3 linked regions of the Caenorhabditis elegans genome follow. The protein of the gene in region 3 interacts with the protein of the main gene of each other region in a pairwise test. Each region holds a gene or a part of one and is shown on either strand. Other genes may lie near its edges.

The links. Proteins that work in one complex are often made in the same cells at the same time.
Region 1: the proteins of nhr-239 (region 3) and athp-1 interact in a two-hybrid assay, tested with the Caenorhabditis elegans proteins (one large-scale study listed by BioGRID).
Region 2: the proteins of nhr-239 (region 3) and nhr-8 interact in a two-hybrid assay, tested with the Caenorhabditis elegans proteins (one large-scale study listed by BioGRID).

Annotation. Positions count from the first base shown.
Region 1 is NC_003281.10:10,879,193-10,885,934, forward strand, and holds the start of athp-1 (PHD-type domain-containing protein), read left to right. Parts: upstream 1-2,573; 5' UTR 2,574-2,771; intron 2,772-3,168; 5' UTR 3,169-3,177; coding exon 3,178-3,243; intron 3,244-3,294; coding exon 3,295-3,426; intron 3,427-3,992; coding exon 3,993-4,364; intron 4,365-4,898; coding exon 4,899-5,005; intron 5,006-6,015; coding exon 6,016-6,296; intron 6,297-6,742. Other genes in the region: C44B9.3 (C2 domain-containing protein), read right to left, coding at 132-377, 796-903.
Region 2 is NC_003282.8:7,708,692-7,715,867, forward strand, and holds nhr-8 (Nuclear hormone receptor family member nhr-8), read left to right. Parts: upstream 1-2,452; 5' UTR 2,453-2,457; coding exon 2,458-2,538; intron 2,539-3,086; coding exon 3,087-3,179; intron 3,180-3,227; coding exon 3,228-3,520; intron 3,521-3,845; coding exon 3,846-3,942; intron 3,943-3,988; coding exon 3,989-4,196; intron 4,197-4,399; coding exon 4,400-4,600; intron 4,601-4,646; coding exon 4,647-5,117; intron 5,118-5,164; coding exon 5,165-5,234; intron 5,235-5,309; coding exon 5,310-5,478; 3' UTR 5,479-5,507; downstream 5,508-7,176. Other genes in the region: mrpl-1 (39S ribosomal protein L1, mitochondrial), read right to left, coding at 32-257, 308-392; emc-6 (ER membrane protein complex subunit 6), read right to left, coding at 607-812, 856-935, 988-1,037; mrps-24 (Small ribosomal subunit protein uS3m), read left to right, coding at 1,356-1,448, 1,497-1,602, 1,655-1,755, 1,840-2,034; F33D4.6 (aECM cysteine-cradle domain-containing protein), read right to left, coding at 5,650-6,456, 6,621-6,692, 6,778-7,038. UniProt on the Caenorhabditis elegans protein: Orphan nuclear receptor.
Region 3 is NC_003281.10:2,559,003-2,568,064, forward strand, and holds nhr-239 (Nuclear receptor domain-containing protein), read left to right. Parts: upstream 1-2,707; coding exon 2,708-2,711; intron 2,712-3,210; coding exon 3,211-3,351; intron 3,352-3,398; coding exon 3,399-3,494; intron 3,495-3,916; exon of another isoform or gene 3,917-4,047; coding exon of another isoform or gene 4,048-4,818; intron 4,819-4,866; coding exon of another isoform or gene 4,867-4,956; exon of another isoform or gene 4,957-4,981; intron 4,982-6,352; coding exon 6,353-6,430; intron 6,431-6,981; coding exon 6,982-7,145; intron 7,146-7,191; coding exon 7,192-7,273; intron 7,274-7,330; coding exon 7,331-7,554; 3' UTR 7,555-7,593; downstream 7,594-9,062. Other genes in the region: feh-1 (Protein Fe65 homolog), read left to right, coding at 267-474, 1,322-1,402; Y54F10AM.11 (BTB domain-containing protein), read right to left, coding at 4,048-4,818, 4,867-4,956; Y54F10AR.2 (Mitochondrial genome maintenance exonuclease 1), read right to left, coding at 8,466-8,694.

The sequences.
Region 1 (6,742 bases), 8.3 Mb from region 3:
TAAGAATTTTTTTATTCTAGCTTTTTTTTCGATTCGAAAACTAGGTTTTTAATTAAAATTCACAACAAAATCCGCCGAATTTTTCCGAATTTTTTGCCTGAAAAATCTGAAATTTAGATCAATTTTCTAACCTGCAGTGTTCTTTCCAAAAACTCTGGCGTTTCCCCAGTAGAATTCTGGAAAACCCGAATATATCCAGATCGATCACAAGTTCTAGCCAATCCATATACAGGATCCACTGAAACAAATTGAATAGATACCATCCAATCATTTAATCGTCCTTTTGGCCAATGGGTTACTGTAGGTCGAGCGATTCCATTTATATACTCGAAACTTGATGAACGACGTTCGTGGTGGGGAAGGATTCGTTCGTCGAGCTGGAAAATACTGAATTAATTTTTTTTCAAAGTGATCTACTAAACCGCGCTCCTTTAATGGCCCGAAACTACCAAAAATTCTGCTAAAATTTGAAATTTTGGAATTTGTTTTCGAAACTTTTTTACCATTGTATTGGGCTTTTTTTGGGTCGCAGTGAAGAAGTAAAATTTTGAATTTTCAAAGAAAAAAACCAAAAATCGAGTAATTTTATGGCAAAGATGTATATTTTGCGATAGATTTTTCGGGGAAAAATGGTGTTTTAAAACATATTTTTGACGCGAAGTTCAAGGAAAATTGACTTTTTCGGCAAAATTGGTTGTAAAAACTCTGAAATTAGCGCGAAAATTAACCAATTATGTTTTTTTCCAAAACTTTTGGACTATTTTTCAAGGAATCTTATAAATTTCCAAAACTCACAGTCATATAGCTCATAGTTGCACATCCACTAGTCTCTGTACCCCATGAGGTCTCATCAATTGGACATGGTTTCCGTTCCACAGAGAGAACATTCACGTGGAGCCACATTTCAGAGATGACCGGGCTCACGGAGCACACCAATAATAGTAGAATTCCATAGAAGATGGGCGACGACATTTTAGTGTAGAGTGTGTGTCTGAAAGAAGGATTTTTTGTTGAAAATCAGGAAAAAAAACGGAAAAAAATTAAAAATTATTTTAAAAAAGTTGCAAATAAATCAAAAACTGCCATTTTTTCAATTTTTCGGAGAGAAAATCGAGAAAATGCAACTTTTTCTGCAGAAAAATATTCAAAAATTCAAAATTTTTCCAATTTTTCGGTGTTTTAGAGAAAATTTCAATTTTTACTTCGGAAAAAAATTTTTTCTGCAACTCGAGGAAATCGTTTTTTTAATACGACCAGAAAGGAATTTTAGGAAAATTGGAAAATTCTGAAGCTTTCAGAAAATTGAAAATTGCCAATTTTTTGAAGAGAAAAGCTAAAAAATTAAGATTTTCCCCAAAAAAATATAGGTTTTTTCGAATTTTTAAAAAAATTTCAATTCAGAACCAAACATTTTCGGTGATTTTTCAATAATTATTTTTCGAAATTTGGAAAAATCCAAAAAAAAGTGTGAATTTCAGTGAGAAAAAAAAAGCTAATTTCTGCAGAAAACAGTGAAAATTTGAGAATTCTAGGAAATATCGAAATAAAAAAAAGAATGTCGATTTTATCGGATAAAATAATACATCGACATACTTTGAGAGACTGGAATAAGAATAACACAATGACTGACTAATTGGATGCATGGTCAGGTAGAAGGAGGAAGGGGGTGTCACCTAATTATAGGCGGAGCTGGAATTACAGAGCGTCTCGAGAGATGGTTATCTTGTCGAAGGACGGGATTAGCACCTTTTACAACGTGTAGATGTCTATTGAAAGAACAAAGGATTTGATTTGTGATGGGCTGAAGATTAAGATGTTTATTGCCTTGTTTTGGAGCTTTATCTGGGCAAAAGATAAGATTTTTTTATACAAAATTCGAATTTTTGACGAAAAACGTAATAAATAATTGGATTATAGAGGATTATAGACCCAAAATGTGCTCGAAATCTGAAATTTTGTCCATTTGTCTGAGTTGCAGTAGTTGATGGAAGGTATACCTATTATAATTTGGTAGATGCACAAAAGTTGGCAGGTGTGTGGTGCACACATATCGACCGTAAATGTACCAAAAAAACACAAAAAGTATGCAAAAACAGCTACTTCACTGACAAGTAAACAAAATTTAAGATTTTAGGTTATTTTTTGCGATTTTGATTCTATTTTCAATTGAGGAGCAGTAAATAGCGGTTCTGGGTACTAAAAATGTGCTTATTTTTGTTTATTTTCCGCTTGAATTCATTTTTTCAACCCAGAGGTACCACACAACATCATCTCACTACATTTTTTGTGATATATCAAATATAATATGATTTTAAAAAAATTGAAAATACTTTTAATGGAAAATCTGACAGAAACCAAGATAAAAAACTACAAAAAACTGGGAAGAACTGGGAAAAAATTTTTTAAAAAAGTTTTCTAAAATTAAAACTACAGTACACTTTGTTCAAGGCGCATGTGCCGTTTATAACATCGTGGCGAGACCCTCGCCGAAACTCTGTCCATGCTGCTTATGATTACTGTAGTTTATTTATTGTTTAATTTTCTTAAATCTTTTATTTGTTCAATTTCCTCGTTTTCCTTCGCTTTTGTTCCAATTTTCTGTTGAAAAAAGTATATTCATAACAAAAATTATTTCTTTCTTTCCAAACAAGCCAAAAACAAGGCCATAAACCGGAAATAGCCGACAAAAGAAGTGGAGATGAGTTTTAGGGTTCGAATAGGACTGCCGATGGTTTACAATGCCGATTGTGACTGTGGAGATGGCTGTAAAGGTGCGAATAGTGATTCTTTTCAAGTTAGCCGCTGGAAATTTCTCTGAAAATCTGAAATTTTACCTGAAATCTGAAATTAAATTCAAAGAAATGCGTGAAATTATAAATTTTTATGAATTTTCTTCAATTTCCCCTAAGAAATCAAGATTTTATCCGTAATTTCCGAAATTATAGGAAAAAACCTAATTTTTTTCGGCTTGACGCAACTGCGCTCCATTGCGAATTACGAAGAAATAGTATGTGAATCGAGGAGGGCACAGACAGCTAGACATCATGCTTCTCATGAAAATTCATTCGAATTTCTGCGATTTCTATGACGATTTTTCATTTTTTCTTTGATATTTTAATTTAAAATGCATTTAAAAAATCATTTCTCATTGATTTTCTTAGTTTTCAGAAAATATCAATGCAGAAAAAAGAGAAAGAAGGCCGAAGAAAGCTGAAATACGACTCAAACGACGGTCTTCTGCCGGTAAAATTGGCAAATTTTCACTTTTTCGCCTCAAATTCCAAATTTTTGTAGGAAATTCGCCGAGTTTGCGGTTTTCCACACCACATTTCCGAAGAATTGTCGGCGAGAGGGTCTGGAAAGAAGAAAAAGCAAGTGGAGGAAGAATGGAAATGGCCTGAAGCTCAAATATGCGGAATTTGCTCTGTAAATACATTGATTATTTGGAAAAATATTGGAAAAAACTAATTTTTCCCTGAAAAAGGCAGAAAAATTGCAAAAAATCATCAAATCTTTGAAAATTTCGATTCAGAACTGGAGTTTAAAGTAAAAAAACCAGATAATGCTGAAATTATTTGATTTTTTAAAAAAGTTTTTAGTCCAAAAGAGCTGCAAAATTCGAATTTTTGATGATTTTAGCATTTTCAGAATAAAAATTCCCTTTTAAAAATTTATTATAGGCCTAGGTTCAGGCTTGGGCTTAGGCTTGGGCTTGAGCTAAAGCTTAGGCCTAGGCTTATGCCTTTAGGCTTAAGCTTAGGCTAAGGCTTATGCGTAGGCTTGGGCTTAGGCTTGAGCTAAAGCATAGGCCTAGGCTTAGGCTTAGGCCTAGGTTCAGGCTTGGGCTTAGGCGTAGGCTTAGGCTCATTATATTATTTTTGCAAAATTGGAAAAAAAAATCCCAAATTTTAGAAAAATCTCTCCACTGAATTCATAAATTTTCAATAAAAAAATGCCCAGATTTCCAAATAATTTTCCATGTTTTTTTGCAGTCCGGCGGTAACATTCTATGCTGTGAACAGTGTCCAGCATCCTTTCATCTTGCTTGTATTGGATACGAATCATCCGATCTTCCAGACGACAATTTTTACTGTAATCGATGTAGAAATCTTCCGGAAAACGTTCGGCTCTTTCCACCGGAAAAGTGCTCGCCGTCTGTAAATCCAGTGCTCCGAGTTGAAAATGAAAATCACCGAAATTGGGAAGCTATTGAATATCATTGTAATCGACTTAGAGATGAGGAACAGGCCGAGAAAATGAAAAAAGATGTTGCTTATGGGCCAAAAAGTGAATTTGCAGAAATTCAAGACTGTTTTCGGGATAAAAATCTACTGAAAGCACTTGGAATGGCTAATCCCATGGATGTAAGGGAGTTTTTTCAAAAAAATGAATTAATGCTTCAATTGAAAAATTAATGAAAATCGAAAATTCTGGATTTTTTAAAATTTAATTTTTTTTTTTAATTTTCGATAAAAATAGTTTTAAAAAATGCGAAATTTTATTAGCAGAAAATATTTAAAACACTTTTTCTCCCGAAAAACGTTGAAATTTTCGGCGTTCGATCCGATTTTCGGGAAAAAAGTGAAAAAAAAATTAGAAAAATCGGGATTTTTAACACTGTAGGATAGGATAGAAACAGAAAAAAACACAATTTATTTGCAGAAAAATGTACAAATATTTTTGAGTATTTTCGACCTTTTTTCCTGAAAATTATCGTTCTTGAGACCATTTTTCCGATAAAAATATTAAAAATAACGCTTTTTTAATTCTTGTTTCGAGTTTTTGTGAAAATTCTTTATTTCTGTGTCCTTCAAAAATTTCCAATTTTACAATAATTTTCTCGAGAAACCTAGATATTATTCCAAACATTTATAAATAATTTTTCCAACATTTTTCAGTATACAATACCACCGGAATTCCAAGCAGATCGTGATTGTTTCTCTGGTGATGCAATGGAAGACAAGAGGCCAACTATAATGGGAGAAGTGTGTGCTGAGTGCAATTTGTACGTTTTCGTAGCAAAAATGGACCTAAAGTGCCAAAAAAAAGAGGAGTTTCCTACCAGAAAGTATTGAAATTGAGCGATTTTCTCTCGAAAAATATCCGAAATTTTTCTTCAAAAAAAATCATTTTCGATTCTTAAAATGATCTCAAAATCTGAACTTTTAGATTTTTTTCTGAAAAACACGATAGAAAAATCAAAAAGAAAAATCAAAAATCAAAAAATTTCGTTTTTCGATTTTCCGATTTTCCAAAAATTAGCTTCACATTTTGGACATTATTCTTATTTTTAGAAGAAATTTGGATTTTTTTCTTACAAATATAAGCAAAATTAAATAAAAAATCGAATTTTATGGTTAATTTTCTGAACATTTTTTTCAATTTTTCGATGTTTCGATTTTCACTGAAAAACATCGAAAAATCGAAAAATGGCACCCTTGATCCCTTCTTGAAACTCCAATTATTATTTTTTTTGCAGAAAAGACGACTGGACACGAATGCTAAAATGTGACTTTTGTGATCTAATTTGGCATCAAAAATGTGTTTTTTTTCTGGAAAAAAAGTTTTAGCTAATTCAAAAAGTCAAGATTTTAAAATCTTAATTTTTTTTTGAAAATCAAAAAATCACCTGAAAAAGACAGAAATTACCTATTGAAGAAAAATAACATATAGTTTTCGAATATTATGTGATTTTCAATTGTTAAGAAAAATTCAATATTTTTTCTGAAAAATTCTGAAAAAAGTAAATTTTAATTTAAAAAAAAAATTTTCTGTAAATTTTCTGAAATAAATTTTGTAGTTGAGGAAAAATTTCAAAAATGTTCCGAAAAATTTTCTTAAAAATTTCAAAAAACTTTCGGAAAAACTTCAAATCAACTAGTTGATAGAATGAGAAAACTTAGAAATTTGTAAATTCCCTTAAAAATGCAGAAAATAAGCAAAGGTAGGCAGGCATCAGGCCCTGAAACCGCGCCTGCCTACCATATAATTTAAAACTCCAATTATTTTTTGCAGAAAAGACGACTGGACACGAATGCTAAAATGTGACTTTTGTGACCTGATATGGCATCAAAAATGTGTAACACCTCCACTTATTCATGTTCGTGCATATTTCTATTGGATGTGTCCAAGACATCCAGAAACTGTCATTGATAGTGTTTTAATTGGTGATGAGATTTCACGAGAAGATCGTCGACGGCTTTATGATAAATATGCTGATGTTGAGCCGAGCTACGAGATTTTTGAGGAATTTTGTATTAAAACTGAACAATTTCGAATGAAATCGGAGGTTTTTGGTGAGGTTTTGCTTACTGAAAATCTTTTTTAAAAAACTTGAAATTTCTAGAAATATTAAAAAAATTTTCTAATGTTTTGGATTTCTTCAAAAATCGTTTTTTTTTTAATTTTTAAAAAAATAGAAAAATGCTAAAAACTGGGAAACTTTTAGATTTTTCCCAGGAAAAATGCCAAAAATCAGAAATTTTCAAATTTGTTTCTGAAAAATGCAAAAAACTTTGAGGTTTTCAATTTTTTCCAAAAAAAAATCTCCGAAATTCCGAAATATTTAGATTTTTACATAAAAAACAGAAAAATCTTTAAAATTTTCAATTTTTTCAAAAAAATGCTAAAAAACTCGGAAAATTTTAATTTAAAAAAATATGAAAAATTCCGAAATATTTAGATTTTTCTAAATAGTTACAGAAAAAATCAATTTTTTCTAATGTTTTGGATTTCTTCAAAA
Region 2 (7,176 bases), on a different chromosome or scaffold from region 3:
AAAAATAGAAATCACAAAACAGGTCTGATACTTTATGAAAACATCCAATGTTGGCTTTTCAGGGAGATTAGCTTCATCGTCAATGTTGAGTCTGCCTGGAAATTGTTGAGATGGTGATAGAAGATTTTTCATTCGCCGAATATTGATTTTTTCCATGAATGAGTATTGTTTTCTGGCTGCCTCTTTTTCTTCCCTTTTCATTCGTCTTTCTAGTTTTTGTTGGCGAGTGATTGTCTGCTTCAACGCTCTTTTACGCCCTTAAAATAAGTTTTTTTTAAAACTACATTTATTTTAAAAAAAAACGAACCTCTAATCTGAATAACATCCGCTGACGCTGGTCGTAGAATGTTACTCCCAGTAGAAGATACCGTCTGTCGAACAAACGATAACATCCTGAAAAGAACAAATGAAAAGTTTAAATAACAAGGAAGCACATTTATAAGGTTATTTTAAAGTTATTTTATCTGTTAAAACAGTGACGAACTATAAATAGGTAGATTAAAGCTGGATTGATTTATTAAATTGTATAAAATGTTGAAAAGAATAGATACATCTATTTTAGAAATAAATAAAAGGGAATGTAGACTTTCGCGAATAAAATGGATCTCAGTATACATGAACCATTCCGTAGAAGAATACCCAGAGCAGAACGAAAGTGAGAAGACCATTTCCGTGCGACCAAGTGAATGAGTTTCTTTCCGGAAAGTAGCTCAACCAGTTTCCTTGTGATTTCACGTTCCATATAACGGCCTGGATTCCAACAGAAATGAAATAGAGAATGAAGCCTTGAAAACCGGTAAGTCCGAGAATTCCTGTAAAAGAAGGATTTTTTAAATGATTTTTTTTGAAAATTACCTGCTGCCATACCGGCGGCGCACGACTGACACGTTCTTCCAAACTCGAGAGCTTCGACGTTGTTGGTTATCGCTGCCGTGCTGAAGAAATATATACATGATTATTGAATTCATGATTTTTACTTCGACTCACTTGTAACACTCATCGTTCTTCTTTTCTGCTTTTGACGATTTATCGGACATTTGAAAATCTGAAATTACAAATAACACTAATAATCAAAAAAGAACATGTTCTAGAACAACATAAAATTATTTAAAATTGAATAAAACTGGATTGCAAAGGGAATTTAAGAATTAAATAGAATAAATTAATAAATTTGTCTCTGAGAAATCTGTGCATTCTGACGTGACAGTGTATCAGTCCTGGGGAGCGCACTTGCAATATTCTTTTTTTAGCTAATTTTTTTTCTTTAAAAATATTGCATTTGCCTCGCTTTTATACTGAATCGCTTTTATAAATATATTTTTCTGCTTAAAATATTATTTTTATAAATTTCAGACATGCTTCGAAGTATACAACATGTCGAAGCCCTCAGCAGTCGTCAAATTTCGACAACATCGATGCTTCTCAAGAACAGAGCGGGTAAAACCAAGGTTTGTTGATCTTTCAATTATTTTCCCATTTATATTTTGCAATTTCCGTCTACATCAAATAGAACACAACTTCTTACATACGAAATGGCTCAAAAACCACATCATATTGGCGTGCGAAAATCGTGGCTCACATGGCATTCACAGAATCTCGAAGGTTTGTTCCAAAACTGAATTACGATTTAACAATTTTTAAAATTTGTTTTTAGAATTCCGTCAATCTCAACCACTGGTTGTTGCACAAGATGAAGTTGTTCGTCGGTTCATTCGAGGATTTTTCCCACAAAATTTAGTCGTTAGTGGAAATGAGGTAATAACTTATCAAAAAAATTTTAAAATTCAGTATAGTATCTATTTCTCTTATCCAAGTTTGCAAAACTTCACATTTTTCCAGATTGTAATCAAACGACGAGGAAACGTACTGATCGTTGCCGGATTCCTTCAATATTCGCGTCGACTCGATATTCGAAGAATCTACTGGATGTTCGGGTTTGCAGAAGAATTTCTTTCCATTCTTCTGAAACAACCAGTGAAGCTAGAAATGGCATTTGTGGAATCCGAAGAAGATGTAGCATACAACTATATCTAAAACTTTCATCTTTGTTATAGAACCGAAATACCGTAGTTTTATTTTACTTCTTTAATTGTTTCTGTTGTGTTCCAAAAAACAAAATAAATCTGAATTTTGGCATTTGGATTCTGGATTTTGGTCCCTGAAAAATATACGAGAGTCAACGATAAGACTTCATAAAATTATCAATCAGCGCATTGGTTTGACAAAAATCAATAAATATTTGTGCTCACTTCGCACACTGATAAGCAAACCCCATAGTCTTTCATACAAACTATTGCGCCCTTTCAATCGTCCTTTTTAACTATACGTGAATCACAGTTAACTATGCGTCGCTCATATAATCACTGATTATTATTCGTATCTTATTCCACTTGTGGTGTGACTTATCTGCAAAACCTAACAACATTTTAATCACTAAAACAAAAATTTCGTCATTCCATGCCTTCGTCTTCTCCATCGATGGACGAGTCTCGAAGGTCTGCTGTTCCACCAAAAGAGCCTGCTGGCAGAATTTGCACAGTTAGTTTTGATATTATTTAGAATATAATCACTTTATTGAAGAGCCTCTTGACGCTGGTTTAAAAGTTGAAAAAACCATCAGAAAGTTGTAATTTTATTTTGGAAACGGCGTGAGATTTTTCGATTTTTGCTTAAAAAATACGGTATCCGGTCTCGCCAAGACAAGTCTTTAAGGAGTACTGTAATTTCAAACTTTAGAAGAACATGCATATTTAACGTGAAAAACTAAAATAAAACACATAAATGTTTTTAAAAAAGTATTAATAGCTATGAATTATCAATGAAAATTCCACAGCTTGAAATTACAGTAATCTTCAAATGCACACAGCTTTTTGTACTGAACAAAGATTGTCGTGCCGAGACCTGGTACCGTATTTTTGACCTAAAAATCAAAAAGAAAATTCCGTTTGGATACATATCGTCTTTTCCAAAACGTAAGATGAGTTCCATAGTGGATTACTACAAATCTGGTGGTATTTTTGTAAAAATATAATAGAAAAACGTTTTTTCATTTATACTTCTAAACCAACAATTGTAATTAATTTTAGGTTTGCTCCGACCGTGCAAATGGATACAATTTTGGTGTACTCACTTGCGAATCTTGTAAGGCGTTTTTCAGGCGAAATGCTTCAAAGCATAAGGTTTTAAAAAAAAAAGCATACTCAAGTTGTTAAAAATTTTGTGTTAAGGAAATTAAATGTCCTTTCTCTGATTCTTGTCAAATCACATCAGCATCTCGCAAGTTTTGCCAAGCTTGTCGATTGAATAAATGTTTTGCTGTTGGAATGAACAGTGAATGGTTAAATGATTTGAAACCGAAGAGTTCAATTGTTTCTGGAAAATTCAAAAGAAAGAAGCCTGATATGAAGAATAACTTGAAAGTGGAAGTAGATGATACTGAAGAAGATTTGGAAAATGATGATGAAGAACAAATTAGTGTCCCCAAAGCATTACTTGAAAAGCTTATCAATAAAGCTAATGAGTAAGTTTCAATGAAATTATCCGGAAATAATAAACTACTGTTTCAACAAATTTACTATAATATAACGGGAAAATAACAAAAAAACGCCTTTACCCCAGAATGCAAAAACAGTAGCCGCGCACGTATGTAGGCATGAAGAAGTGCCTACCATGGCAGCCTTAGCACGTTCTCACATTTATTCAATTGAATCTATTTAATTAAAGTGGTCTCTCGATAACCTGTGATATGTACCGTATGAGAAAGTACAATTATCTAATCAGTAGATCACACAAGACCACAAAACTACGTCACTCTAGTAACAGACAATCGTACATTGAACTTTCAGAAAATCAAAAGACAGATGTACATGCAAATGCCAGTGTGGATTCTATCCAATTACTCAAAGACTCACCGCATACGAACCAAAGGATACAACAGCTGTGGTTAGTAGAGTTTAAAATACAAGAAAATCAATTATTTTATATTCAGAACAGTCCACAAGATATATCATTCTCCCATCATCTTCATCATTCGGATTCGTTTTATTCTTCATCTACTTCAACTCTTTCTCCAATGTCGGTTATCAGTTGTGCTCCATCTTCACATGATTCCAGTGGTTACAATACTTCTCAACTTGTTACTCAATCTCCAACCAACTACACAGTTTCTCCGGCGTCTATACCGAGCTCAATAACTGGTATGTTTTTAGGAGCAGCTCGTGAAGCTGAACGCTAGAACCTCACTGTCAAAAATGTTTGACAACAAGCCAGACATAACTCATCTAGAAGGCTATCACTACGAATTCAAAGTAGGCAGAAGAGTTACGTCCGCCTTCCGAGCCGACAAGAAAACACTTTTATTAATACGTACTGAAGTAAAGAATATACGTCTAAAATTTAGAACTGTCTCCACAAATGCCATCGCAATATCCTCCAATGTTATCACCATTTCAATTTGGTGTTATGGCCCAAATGGCTGCGCCAGCCAACTTTTTGAATTTTCCTCCAATGCCTGAAAGAACATGGACTCCAATTCAAGCAGTGTCCACAGTTCCAGTAACTGAAACTCTACCTCCAAATTTGCTAGAACAAATTCATTCAAGTACTGTTTCATGTCATCCATAAGTTTGAATTTTGCAACTTTTCAGAGATTGACAAATACATTGGAGTTTTGAATGAAGACGAGATAACTCTTTTAGAAGAACTTCATGTACAAAATGAGCCATTAAATGCTCCACTAATTCAATGGCACAATCCGAAAAGCATTGATGGAGTTTTTAGAATAATAGAAGAAGCTCTACGAAGGATTGTTAACATGGCATGCCAATTAAGTCTATTCCGAGAGCTTCACGTGGACGATAGGAAAAATCTCTTGAAAAGTGGATTTGGGGAGTTGTTGATTGTGCGGGGTCTTATGGCCTATGACAAGAGTGATAACAGCTGGAATCATTCATTTGGAGTACGAGGAAAAATGGAGGTAAAGGTGGAAGTTCTTAAGAATCCAAAACTTGAAGAACATTACAAAGCACACATGAACTTGCTTTCAACGTTTGGAGAAGATGTGAGGAATAATGAACATTTGATGCTCATTTTCAATGCAGCTGTTATATTTCATCCTCGTGAGCCAGTTTTTCAAAATTGATTCGTTTTAAAGTTATTAATTCAGATGTCTCCAACTTACGTGATAGTAAACGAGTGCACTCAACACAAGCAAAATATTTCCAGATGCTCTTGAAGTAAGTACTGTACGAGAAAAGCACGTATTGTATAACTTTTTGATTATAACATTTTTAATATTGTCCTACTTTCAGACTTCTTACATTTGAATATGGTAAATCACGTGCTGACATTGCATACAGTAATCTTCTGAATCAAGTCGTCGAGCTTCATCGTGTGAATAGGACCTTACTTCGTGTGTTTTATGGACTAGATATTGCTCAATTGGATCCTCTGATACGAGAATTATGTTCTTTTGAATAACCATTTATTAACCATGAATTATTGCACATATTGCACACTTATTAACATGAGAAAGTTTTTGAGAAAATTGCACAAAAGTCAAGGGCAGAAAGATGGAGAAAATATTACAAACAAATACACGTAGATCTGGATCGAAATCAAAATAAAAATTAATATAAAGGTATTAATTAATTACTCCTCTTTCAACCACTTTTGGCACTTGGCAACATAAGCATGAGAACGAGCACATGTTAGTGCTGGATAATAGTTCTCAATAAAGTAACAGTGCTCTTTTGCGAACTCTTCAACGGTATCAAACAAGAATTGACGTGCGAAGCTACGAAGGTTCAAGCATTGATGCTTTGTCACAACAGCTCTCTTTTTGTTTTTCTTGACACGTTGAGCACGTGTAACTGGAGCTTCAGTGGTGGTGGTGGTTGTTACATCTTCTTCTTCATCTTCAACTAACTCTTCTGCTTCAATAACATCATCTTCCTCTTCCTGTTCCACGGCAGCTGTCACAACTTCTTCCTCTTCTTCTTCTGGTGTAGTTGTTGGAGCTTCAGTAGTAGTTGTTGTGGTTGTAGTCTTCATTTTTGAGAGACGAATTCTCTTCATAACTCTCTTTCTAACCTCCTTATTCAAAAGTTCTTCTTCCTGCTCTTTTGTCAACATCTGAACCTTGCTGCTTCTCTGTTCGATAGCATCATTCATTGGAGTATCATTTTGAACTTCTTGTTGGGTTGTTTCCTGTCTTTTTGGGCTCTCTTGAACCTCATCAACTCCATCGAATTGCTCAGCAAACTCTTCGGATGGTGGGGAAACACTTGGAGCCACTTGGGTCTTCCATTGCTCGTCATAAAGATCTGGGAACTTGCGGATCTCTTTCTTTTCTTTCTTTGATGTTTTGTGACTCTTTCTCATCTTTCTCTTCTTCTTTGGTGGTTCAGTCGTTGCTTCTTCTTCCTCCTCAACTGGTTTCTCTTCAACCTTTTCATTCTGAAATGATAAAAATGAGGATTTTTAAACTAAAAAGATATTCCCAAATGAGTTATTAGTTGAATTTGCAGCTAACGTGCTGACAGCAATTGAGTGCAAATTAAAAAGGCCCCCAAAATTAACTTATCCGAAGGCATCTAAAAGTGCATAAAACAAAAAGTTACTTCTTCAACTTTGACGACACGTGGTTTGCGAATCTTTCTTTTACGATTGATGCTGTACACACGAATGCTTCCCTGAGACAAGTGTTAGATTAGCAAATGTGATTGATTAGAATGAACAGAGTATACCAAGAAGAGAGAGAGAATAAATAAGACTTACCTCTTTTTGAAGAATATTGACTGGTTCCTGTTCCTCCTGTGCTTGAATATCGATTGGATCACTCATCTGAACAGTTTTTGCTCCAAATTGACGAGAATGCATGTCTTTTCCCTTTTTTTCAAGATAATGAATCTTTCGTCTTGGAAGGGACTTGCGTTTTGGTTTAATTGTCTCTTGCTCAACTTCTTCAATTGTCGTGACTTCTGGTTCTTCGGTAGTGGTTGGAGTGGTAGTGGTTGTTGGATCAGTGAACAAGTTGATCTGAAAATAATGGAATTGAAACTATACTTTGTAGTTTTTGTGTGGGTTTTTTTTTCAAATTTTTACTTTCATTTTTCAGTTTCTTGGATGCATTTATGGAGCCACTTCAGCACTTCTACAAAATAAGACAGTGGGACT
Region 3 (9,062 bases):
ATAGGTGTAATGTACATAGGTATATTATAGTATTACTGTAGACCGGTTGTAAGGATACTGTAGGATAACTGTAGGCGAGTTGTAGGGGTACTGTAGTGGTAGTGCATGATTACTGTGGGGTACTGTGAGGGTACTGTAGGGTTGATGTAGGGATACTGTAGACATACTGTAGGGTGGCTTTAGGGGTACTGTAGGGGTACCGTAGGATTACTGTAGGCGTCCTCTAAGGTTACTCTAGGTATTTCTCTCAATTCCACAACTTCCAGACACTGTGCCTTCATAATGCAAACCTCATCGGAAAGCTTCATGTGCTACGTCTTCCACGTCGAACCGAACGCAGCCGCCATGGCAAAAATGGTCGAGGCTGCTTGTAAGCTTCGATACCAAAAAGTGCTCGACGCCCACTCATCATCCCGTCATCACTCGGGAATGTCGATTCATGGACAACATCCACCATCCACCTACCACGGCAAGGTTTTTGAAACTTCTTCACTTTCCCTTGCTTTAACAAATATAATCGCTTGAAAATTATTTGAAGAGTCACTTTTTTTTGGTGACAGACAAATAATAAACTAACATGTTTCCCATGGAATTTAACATTTTTAATTTTAGATTTTCAGATTCTAGGCCGTCAAATTAGACTTAGGCTTTAAATTGTTTGTAGGGGGTACTGTATTGTAAGGGTTCTGTAAGGGCCTTTTATAGGGTACTGTAGGTTACTGTTAGGGTACTGTAGGACTGTACGGTTACTATAGGGGTACTGTAAGGGTACTGTAGGGTTGCTATAGCGGGCTGTAGGGGTACTGAAGGGGTACTGTAGGAATACTTTAGGGCACTGTAGAAGTGCTTTAGGGGTACTGTAGAGCTGTTGTATGGGCACTGTAGGGATTCTGTAAGGGCCTGTAATGGGGGGGGGGTACTGTAGGGTACTGTAGTAGTACTCTAGAGTACTGTAGGTTACTGTAGGAGTATTGTAGGGATAGTGTAGGAATTCTGTAGATGTACTACAGGAATACTGTAGGACTACAGTAGATCTTATGTAAAGTTAATATGGAAGTACTGTAGGTGCACTACAAGGGTACTGTAGGGATACTATAGGGATACTGTAGGGAACTGTATGGGTACTGTAGGGGTACTGTAGTTTACTGTAGGATATTGAACAAAATTTTAAATTCGAAAAAAAAATTTTTTTTGATCGATGCACCATAACTTTTGTTGTGAGCCGAAATTAATGTGCACATACTACCAAAAAATCCAATTAACTCTTAATAATCTGCTGAAAGCCTTAAAATCCTTAAAACCTAACTTGAAATAATTACAGGGATGGACTGAAACATTTCGCGACGCTTTTGGTTCGGTGACGTCACGTATGGTACCTTCTAGGTCGGCACAACGACTTTGAATTCTTCATTTTTCTTCGGTTCTTTAATTTTCTGTATTTTTGATGGATTTTTCTCATATTTTTTTCTCTCATACTCTGTTCTGCTCATCCCAAATATGCTTTCAAACCAAAAGTTTACCCCGGCCCCTCACTTGGCAATATTCTTCAATCCACCGATACATTTTTACTTGTACAATCCCTCTTTCTGTGTAGCTTTTTCAACATCTGTGACAATTTTTTTTTGTTTTGTAGAATTTGATTTCTTTGAAAAAAGGTTTTTCTGATAAAAATGGAGTTTTATAACAAGTTTGGTGGAATGAACATGGTGCATCGATAGGTCGCGAAAATTGTTTGGCAGGAAGCTAGGCAGGCAGGCAGGCAGGTAAGTGAGCAGGTAGGCAGGCGGATAGCCATGTAGGTATGTAGGTACACCAATAGGTATGTAGGTAGGTAACCAGGCTGGTATGCAGGCATGCAGATAGGAAGGCCGATAGGTATGTAGGTAGGTAGCCAAATTGGTAGACAGGCATGAAGGCAGAAGACAGGTATTCAGTTAGGTAGGTAGGCCGGTAGGTATGTAGATAGGCAGCCAGGCTGGTAGGCAGGCATACAGGCAGATAGGTGTTTAGGTGGGCAGGAACGCCTATAGGCATTTAGGTAGGTAGGATGGCCGATAGGTATGTAGGTAGGTAACCAAGCTGGTACACAGGCATGCAGGCAGATAGGTATTAAGGTAGGCAGGTAGGCCGATAGGTATGTAGGTAGGTAACCAGGCTGGCAGGCAGGGGTCATACTGATAGGTAGGTAGGAACGCCGATATGTATGTAGGCATGCAGGCAGATAGGCATTTAGGTAGGTAGGTAGACAGGCTGGTAAGCAAACTAATAGTTGTTCAGTGAGATATTTAAAGTTTTCAATAGAAAATTTTAAAAAAATTAATTTGAATTTCTTTTTGCAAATTTTTTTTCTAAATTTTTTTCATAATTTTTTGCCTGTTTTTGCCCTTTTTTGCCCCAGCCAATTTCAGCTTCAAAATAGCAAATTCTTTCCGATTTTCCATAGAAAATCTATTCGATCAGAGTGTCGGTTGCTCAAAAATTCAATAAATAATTAATGCGCCCCGACTTATGATGAAGTAAGCTTCTTCTAACCTTGTGATTTTGGGAAAGGTGGGGGACTATTCTCATATTTCAACTAGTACTACTACTACCATCTGACACCGAATACCTTTCCAATTAGTGATTCTCAGGTGGTATAAATTGGCGAGCTGCAATACGGAGATATGCCTTTTATTTTTCGGTTTCCGGTGATTTTGCTAATTTTTCGATGGGTAAGTGAGAATTTTCTCGGTTTTTGTAATTATTCTGCAAAATTTGAATAAAAATTGGCCGCGCTACGTAGGCCAATAGTTCGTTGGGGCGCGTTTGCAGCAGTTCTTCGAATTTTTTAGTTTTTTACGAAAAACTCGTTAACTACAGTTTGAATTTGTTTCTTTCACAAAAACATTAATGGAATTTCCGCAAGCGGCAAACGATTTTTTCCGGCAAACCGGCAAATCGGCAAATTGCCGGAATTGAAAATTAATGGCAAATCGGCAAATTGCCGGAAATTAAAATTTCCGGCAAATCGGCAAACCGGCAAATTGATTTGCCGAATTTGCCGGAAAAATGGCAAATCGACAAATTGCCGGAATTGAAAATTTCCAGCAAATCGGAAAATTGCCGGAAAAACGGCAATTGCCAAAAATTTTCCGAAAATGTGAGGTCACACGAATTTCACAGCGCGCGCTCAAATTGGCGCAATTTCTGTAGATCAAATATCGTTTTCAGGCCGAAAAGACACGGCAGCCGTGAACTGTGAGATTTGTGGAGACAAGTCTTACGGTAGACACTATGGAGTATGGGCATGTGATGGATGCAGTTGCTTTTTCAAGAGAAGTGTACGCAAGAATATTATCTATACTTGTATTGGTTAGCTTTCAGGCCGGAAATTTATATTATCTGAAATTATATTTCAGCGGGAAATTGGAAGTGCGTCGTGGATAAAGGCCGAAGGAATTGGTGCCCGGCGTGTCGGCTTGCAAAATGCACAAGGTTGAAGATGAATAGACTCGGTGAGTAATAGGCTCAGGCCTAGGTGTAGGCCTAGGTGTGGGCCCAGGCATAGGCTTAGGATTAGACATGGGCCTAGGCTTAGACTTGGGCTTAGTCTTAGGCTTAGTCTTAGACTGAGGCCTAGGCTTAGGCTTAGGTGTAGGCCTAGGAGTAGGATTAGACTTTGAATCAGGAATAGTACTAGGCTTATTCGTGGGCTTAGGCTTAGGCTCAGTCTCTGGCTTAGGTTTAGGACTTGGCTTGGGCATAAGGTTATGCTTAGGCTCAGGCTTATGATTAGGCTTTGAATTAGTCTTAGGCGTAGGATTAGGCTTCGGCTCAGTCTTTGGCTCAAGCGTAGGATTAGGCTTTGGCTCAAGTCTCTCTTCTCTCTCTCTCTCCCTTTCCTAGAGTTTCAAACATTTCCGAGTCAAAAATAATATCAAGTTGCGACCCGATTTATGAATTCACAAAAATAACTTGAAATAGTCTAATATGTACACGATGAAAATTTAAATATACTAATAAAAAATATGGCGAAATTATTTGACATGAAAATTATCTTCTTATCCATCACTCCAGCGTGATTGTATCGTCGTGGCAGCTGCGTGCCTCCTCCTGGAACAGCTCCAGAGTTTCCGAGAAGCCGTCCTCCTCGTACTCCTCCGGCTCTGGCACAGACAGCTTCCGCGATCTTCTCGGCACCACGAACGTCCTCTGAAGGATCCTTGAGAGTTCCGGCTCCACGAGCTCAGCACCAGTGTCCTCAGAATCTCCGAGAGTTCCAGAGCTTCCGGAAGCGTTGTCGTCGGGAACTGTGAGCTCCATCTGAGAATGGTCATCTTCTGCTGGAGCGAGCATCTTCATAGTCCGGTCGAGCTCCTCCTCGGTGATTTGTGCTCCGGCTCCTTCTGGCTTTGCAGCTTCCTTGGCGAGAGCAGCAGCTCGGCGACACAACGCCATCATCGAATGACTGGCCAACTTCGGTGGGAATCGCATTTTCATCACTTGCTGACAGTCGGCTTCGCTTTGCAACGTCTCCAGAAGTTTGTCAAAGAGATTCCAGAATTTGTACGTCTCGGCGAGCTGGAGACGAAGCGAGAAATCCATTGACTCATCGAGTGAGAGCCAATTTTCGCAGCGAGCCATCACAAAATCCACGCCAAACCGTGCAGAAACCGTCAGAAGCGACTCCACATTCTGTGCTGTGATTTGATCCGTGTTGTGGTACATGAATTCGAGGAATTTGAGGAAATCCTCGGAAGAGACGTCCTGAATTGTGATCTCTGGATCTCCCGGGGTGGCGAACAGAGACTGGAAGACCCGCGAATGTGTGGCGAGATACTGAAAATAGTGAATTATTACACAAAAATTTTAGTAGTTTTCACAAACCTGCTTCCCCACGTGGAACTTCCGCTCCTCCACCACCACGATTGCGTCGAACACGAGCTCCTTTGGCATCGAGAAGTCCATTCCAGCCATTGTCTCGTTAGAACTGCTGGCGGTGCTGAAAAATCGAGTTTTACTTTGAAAATCCAAGAAAAATAGGCAGAAAATCGGCAAAAAATGAAGAAAAATCGAGTTTTACATTGAAAAAAAATGGCCAAAAATCGGAGAAAAATGGGCAAAAAACGGAGAGAATTGATGACAAATCAAAGAAAATGGAAAAAAAGAAGAAAATTCTGGAAGTGCAATGAAGCGCAATTCCCGCCGGTGTTTGCGTATTCTGCGCAATTTTCGTTTGACCTACGTAGGTCAAATCGAAAAGGGGCACTCTGACACCACCGGAAAACCCGATAAATTTCGGGAAACCGATAAATTTTTAGAAAAATCGAAAAATTACTGGAAAACCAATTGATTTCCAGAAAAATCAATAAATTTGCAAAAAAAAAATTGAGAAAATCGGAGAATTTTTTTTCCGTAAATTTATCGATTTTTTGGTTAATGTATACACTCAAAATAATAAAACTGCGTGGCGTGTACTGCAGAAAACCTCATATTTAGGCCCCGCCTTTTTCTCGTCCACTCACGGAGAAAAGGCAAAAATTTGGGGACCAACCAATATCAGGCCGCCGACATCCTACGGGTTCCGCGCGCCGCTATGTTTAACTCGCTGTGGGCGTGGTGCTGTCTCCGCCCGCTGCGAGTTAAACAAAGTTTTCACAAACCTGCTTCCCCACGTGGAACTTCCGCTCCTCCACCACCACGATTGCGTCGAACACGAGCTCCTTTGGCATCGAGAAGTCCATTCCAGCCATTGTCTCGTTAGAACTGCTGGCGGTGCTGAAAAATCGAGTTTTACTTTGAAAATCCAAGAAAAATAGGCAGAAAATCGGCAAAAAATGAAGAAAAATCGAGTTTTACATTGAAAAAAAATGGCCAAAAATCGGAGAAAAATGGGCAAAAAACGGAGAGAATTGATGACAAATCAAAGAAAATGGAAAAAAAGAAGAAAATTCTGGAAGTGCAATGAAGCGCAATTCCCGCCGGTGTTTGCGTATTCTGCGCAATTTTCGTTTGACCTACGTAGGTCAAATCGACGCCCGCTGCGAGTTAAACAAAGCGGCGCGCGGAACCCGTAGGATGTCGGCGGCCTGATATTGGTTGGTCCCCAAATTTTTGCCTTTTCTCCGTGAGTGGACGAGAAAAAGGCGGGGCCTAAATATGAGGTTTTCTGCAGTACACGCCACGCAGTTTTATTATTTTGAGTGTACGAAGCTGTAATGAAAAGAACCTTACATATATCTACAGAATTGAGACTCTTCGCACCAACGCCCCTGGGTAATATTAATTTAAAAATTGAACAGAATGTGTTGTCAATTTACGTTTTTAAATAGTGTTTTCTTTTTGCTTAACTGATATATCAAGTTCAATTCAGCTGTCCAAACTGAACGAGGACCTCGGAGGCTTCGATGCCTGCAGCTGAAACATACCAATAACCCCATCTCTTTCAAATGTAAGTCTATACTCGGGTAATTCATCAAAACTTATACACCAACTTAGCCTTGCATAGCCTTCTTTCTTCTAAGTTTGACTATTACAAAATTCTGAGAATGCGTATTGTGCAACATATTTGACGCGCAAAATATCTCATAGCGAAAACTACAGTAACTCTTTAAATGACTACTGTAAAGCTTGTGTCGATTTACGAAAATCATTTTTGATCGATAAAATATTAAAAATTAATAGTAAGCAAAAAAATGAACAAAATAATACGAAAAATCGAAGAAAAATGGAATATCGCTGTCACTTTTGGAAAATAAATTCATTTCGAAAGTAATTAAAAGAGATACTGTAGTTTTCGCTACGAGATATTTTGCGCGTCAAATATGTTGTGCAATACGCATTCTCTGAATTTAGTGTTCACGTAATACTTTGGACAACTTTATCCAACTTTTTTCAATCAAATTTAGCAACTTCTACGCTTGGCATTTCTAAAATTGCTAAAGTTGGTGGATAAGTTGTAGATTTCTTCTCTTATTCTCAGGTTTTTTTTTCCATTTCCAGATGACTCGATATTCTCGAAATCCGTAATCCTTACATCAAAATGCTTATTGCTAAACTTCATGTCCCAACAGGAACGTCGAGAAGTTGTTGAAGAAAACTGCCAAATCATATTTGCCCTATTGATATTGGCCAGTGGAGATGAGGCAGTACTAAGCAGGTTTCCAGTAAGTTTTTGGGTCTCACAGCGAATATTACCGTAACCCATTTAAGCCGCCAAAACCTATCCCGCAAAAAGTGCATTGTGACCCAGAACAACTACGGCTGACTATCTGCATACTTCTCTCCCAATCCAGTAAGTTTCAGATCCCCTTTTATTTATGCTAGATCTAGCTAGATATTAATTTTCCAGCCAGTCCCCTTCTGAAATTCGCTGCACCTTTGGAAAACTTTTATAAATGTTGTCTATGGCGGTACTCCTTCACAAATGACTCTATCGAGACAGCTACACAACTAATCAATACAGTTACGTGGCTCTATGAAAACGGACCATGGGAGATGTCAAGTTTGCTCCGAAGCTCCATGAGCAGTCTTATTACTGAAGTCTTTGAATCAGATAATGTTGAATTGTTTTGATTTTCAATTGATGGATGAATAAATGTTTTAATGAATTTACCGGTTTGCAATTTGCCGATTTGCCGGAAAACTTAATTCCGGCAATTTACCGGTTTGCCGGAAATTTTCAATTTCTGCAATTTGCCAATTTGCCGGAAATTTTCATTTCCGGCAATTTGCCGATGTGCCGGTTTGCCGGAAATTTTCAGTTCCGGCAATTTGCCGGTTTGCCGATTTGTCTGAAATTTTCAATTCAGACAAGTTGTCGGTTGGAATGTTTGTCGGAAATTTTCAATTCCGGCAATTTGCCGATTTGCCGGAAATTTAAAGTTCGGCAATTTGCCGGTTTGCCGATTTGCGAGAAATCTTAATTCCGGCAATTTGTCGATTTGCCGGAAATTTTCAATTCCGGCAATTTGCCGGTTTGCCGATTTGTCTGAAATTTTCAATTTCAGCAATTTACCGGTTTGCCGGAAGTTTTCAATTCCGGCAATTTGCAGGTTGGCCGATTTGCCGGAAATTTTCGATTCATGGCAATTTGCCGATTTGCCGGAAATTTTCATTTTCGGCAATTTGCCGGTTTGCCGATTTGCCGGAAATTTTCAATTTCGGAAATTTGCCGATTTGTCGGAAATTTCAAATTTGGGCAATTTGCGGGTTTGCCAGAAATTTTCAATTCCAGCAATTTGCCGATTTGTTGGAATTTTCAAATTTGGGAAATTTGCGGGTTTGCCGGGAATTTTCGATTCCGGCACTTTGCCGGTTTGTCCATTTGCCGGAAATTTCAAATTCCAGCAATTTGCCGGTTTGCCGAATATTTTAAATTCCGGCAACTTGCTGTAATTTTCACTACAAACATCAAAATTATAGACTAAAACCAGTATTTATTGGTTACATGATACATATAAATTTCAATGAAAAGGTCGCCTAAATCAAAATGAAAAAACATGAAAATCATAGAGGTATCGTGTATCATTTAGTCTAATCGGCATTTGACTATAAGCCTGCTGACAGATATCCAATTCGACAATCGTGTAGCGTGGCCATTTGAAAGTGTAGTCCTTGGGTGTTTTGATCCGTTGTGACCACATTTGTGATCCTTTACGGATTTCATTCAGGAGACTATCGAATTTGTAGCATCCACCGAGCACCACTTTGTATCTGGAAATATGGAATTTTAAGTAAAAATTATTGATTTTTTCTCAATTTTTCGATGTTTTCAGAGAAAATTGAATTTTTTTTTACTTTAATTTTTTTTTAAAAATAGGGAGATACTTCGAATTTGAAAAAAAAAATTTGGAAACTTTTTCCAGGTTTCTATAATTTTTAATCATTTCTCATGTTTTTTGAAAATTTTTTTAAAAACTCGAATATATCTTTAAAAAATACGGAAAATCGAAATATTTCAAAACTTCTCTGAAAAAAGCCAAAAAAAAACGTTAAAAATGCAAAAATACCAAAAAATTGAAAAAAAAAACAATTTTTTTTTCTTTTTAAAAGTTTCAGTGAACAAAAACCAAAGATTTGGG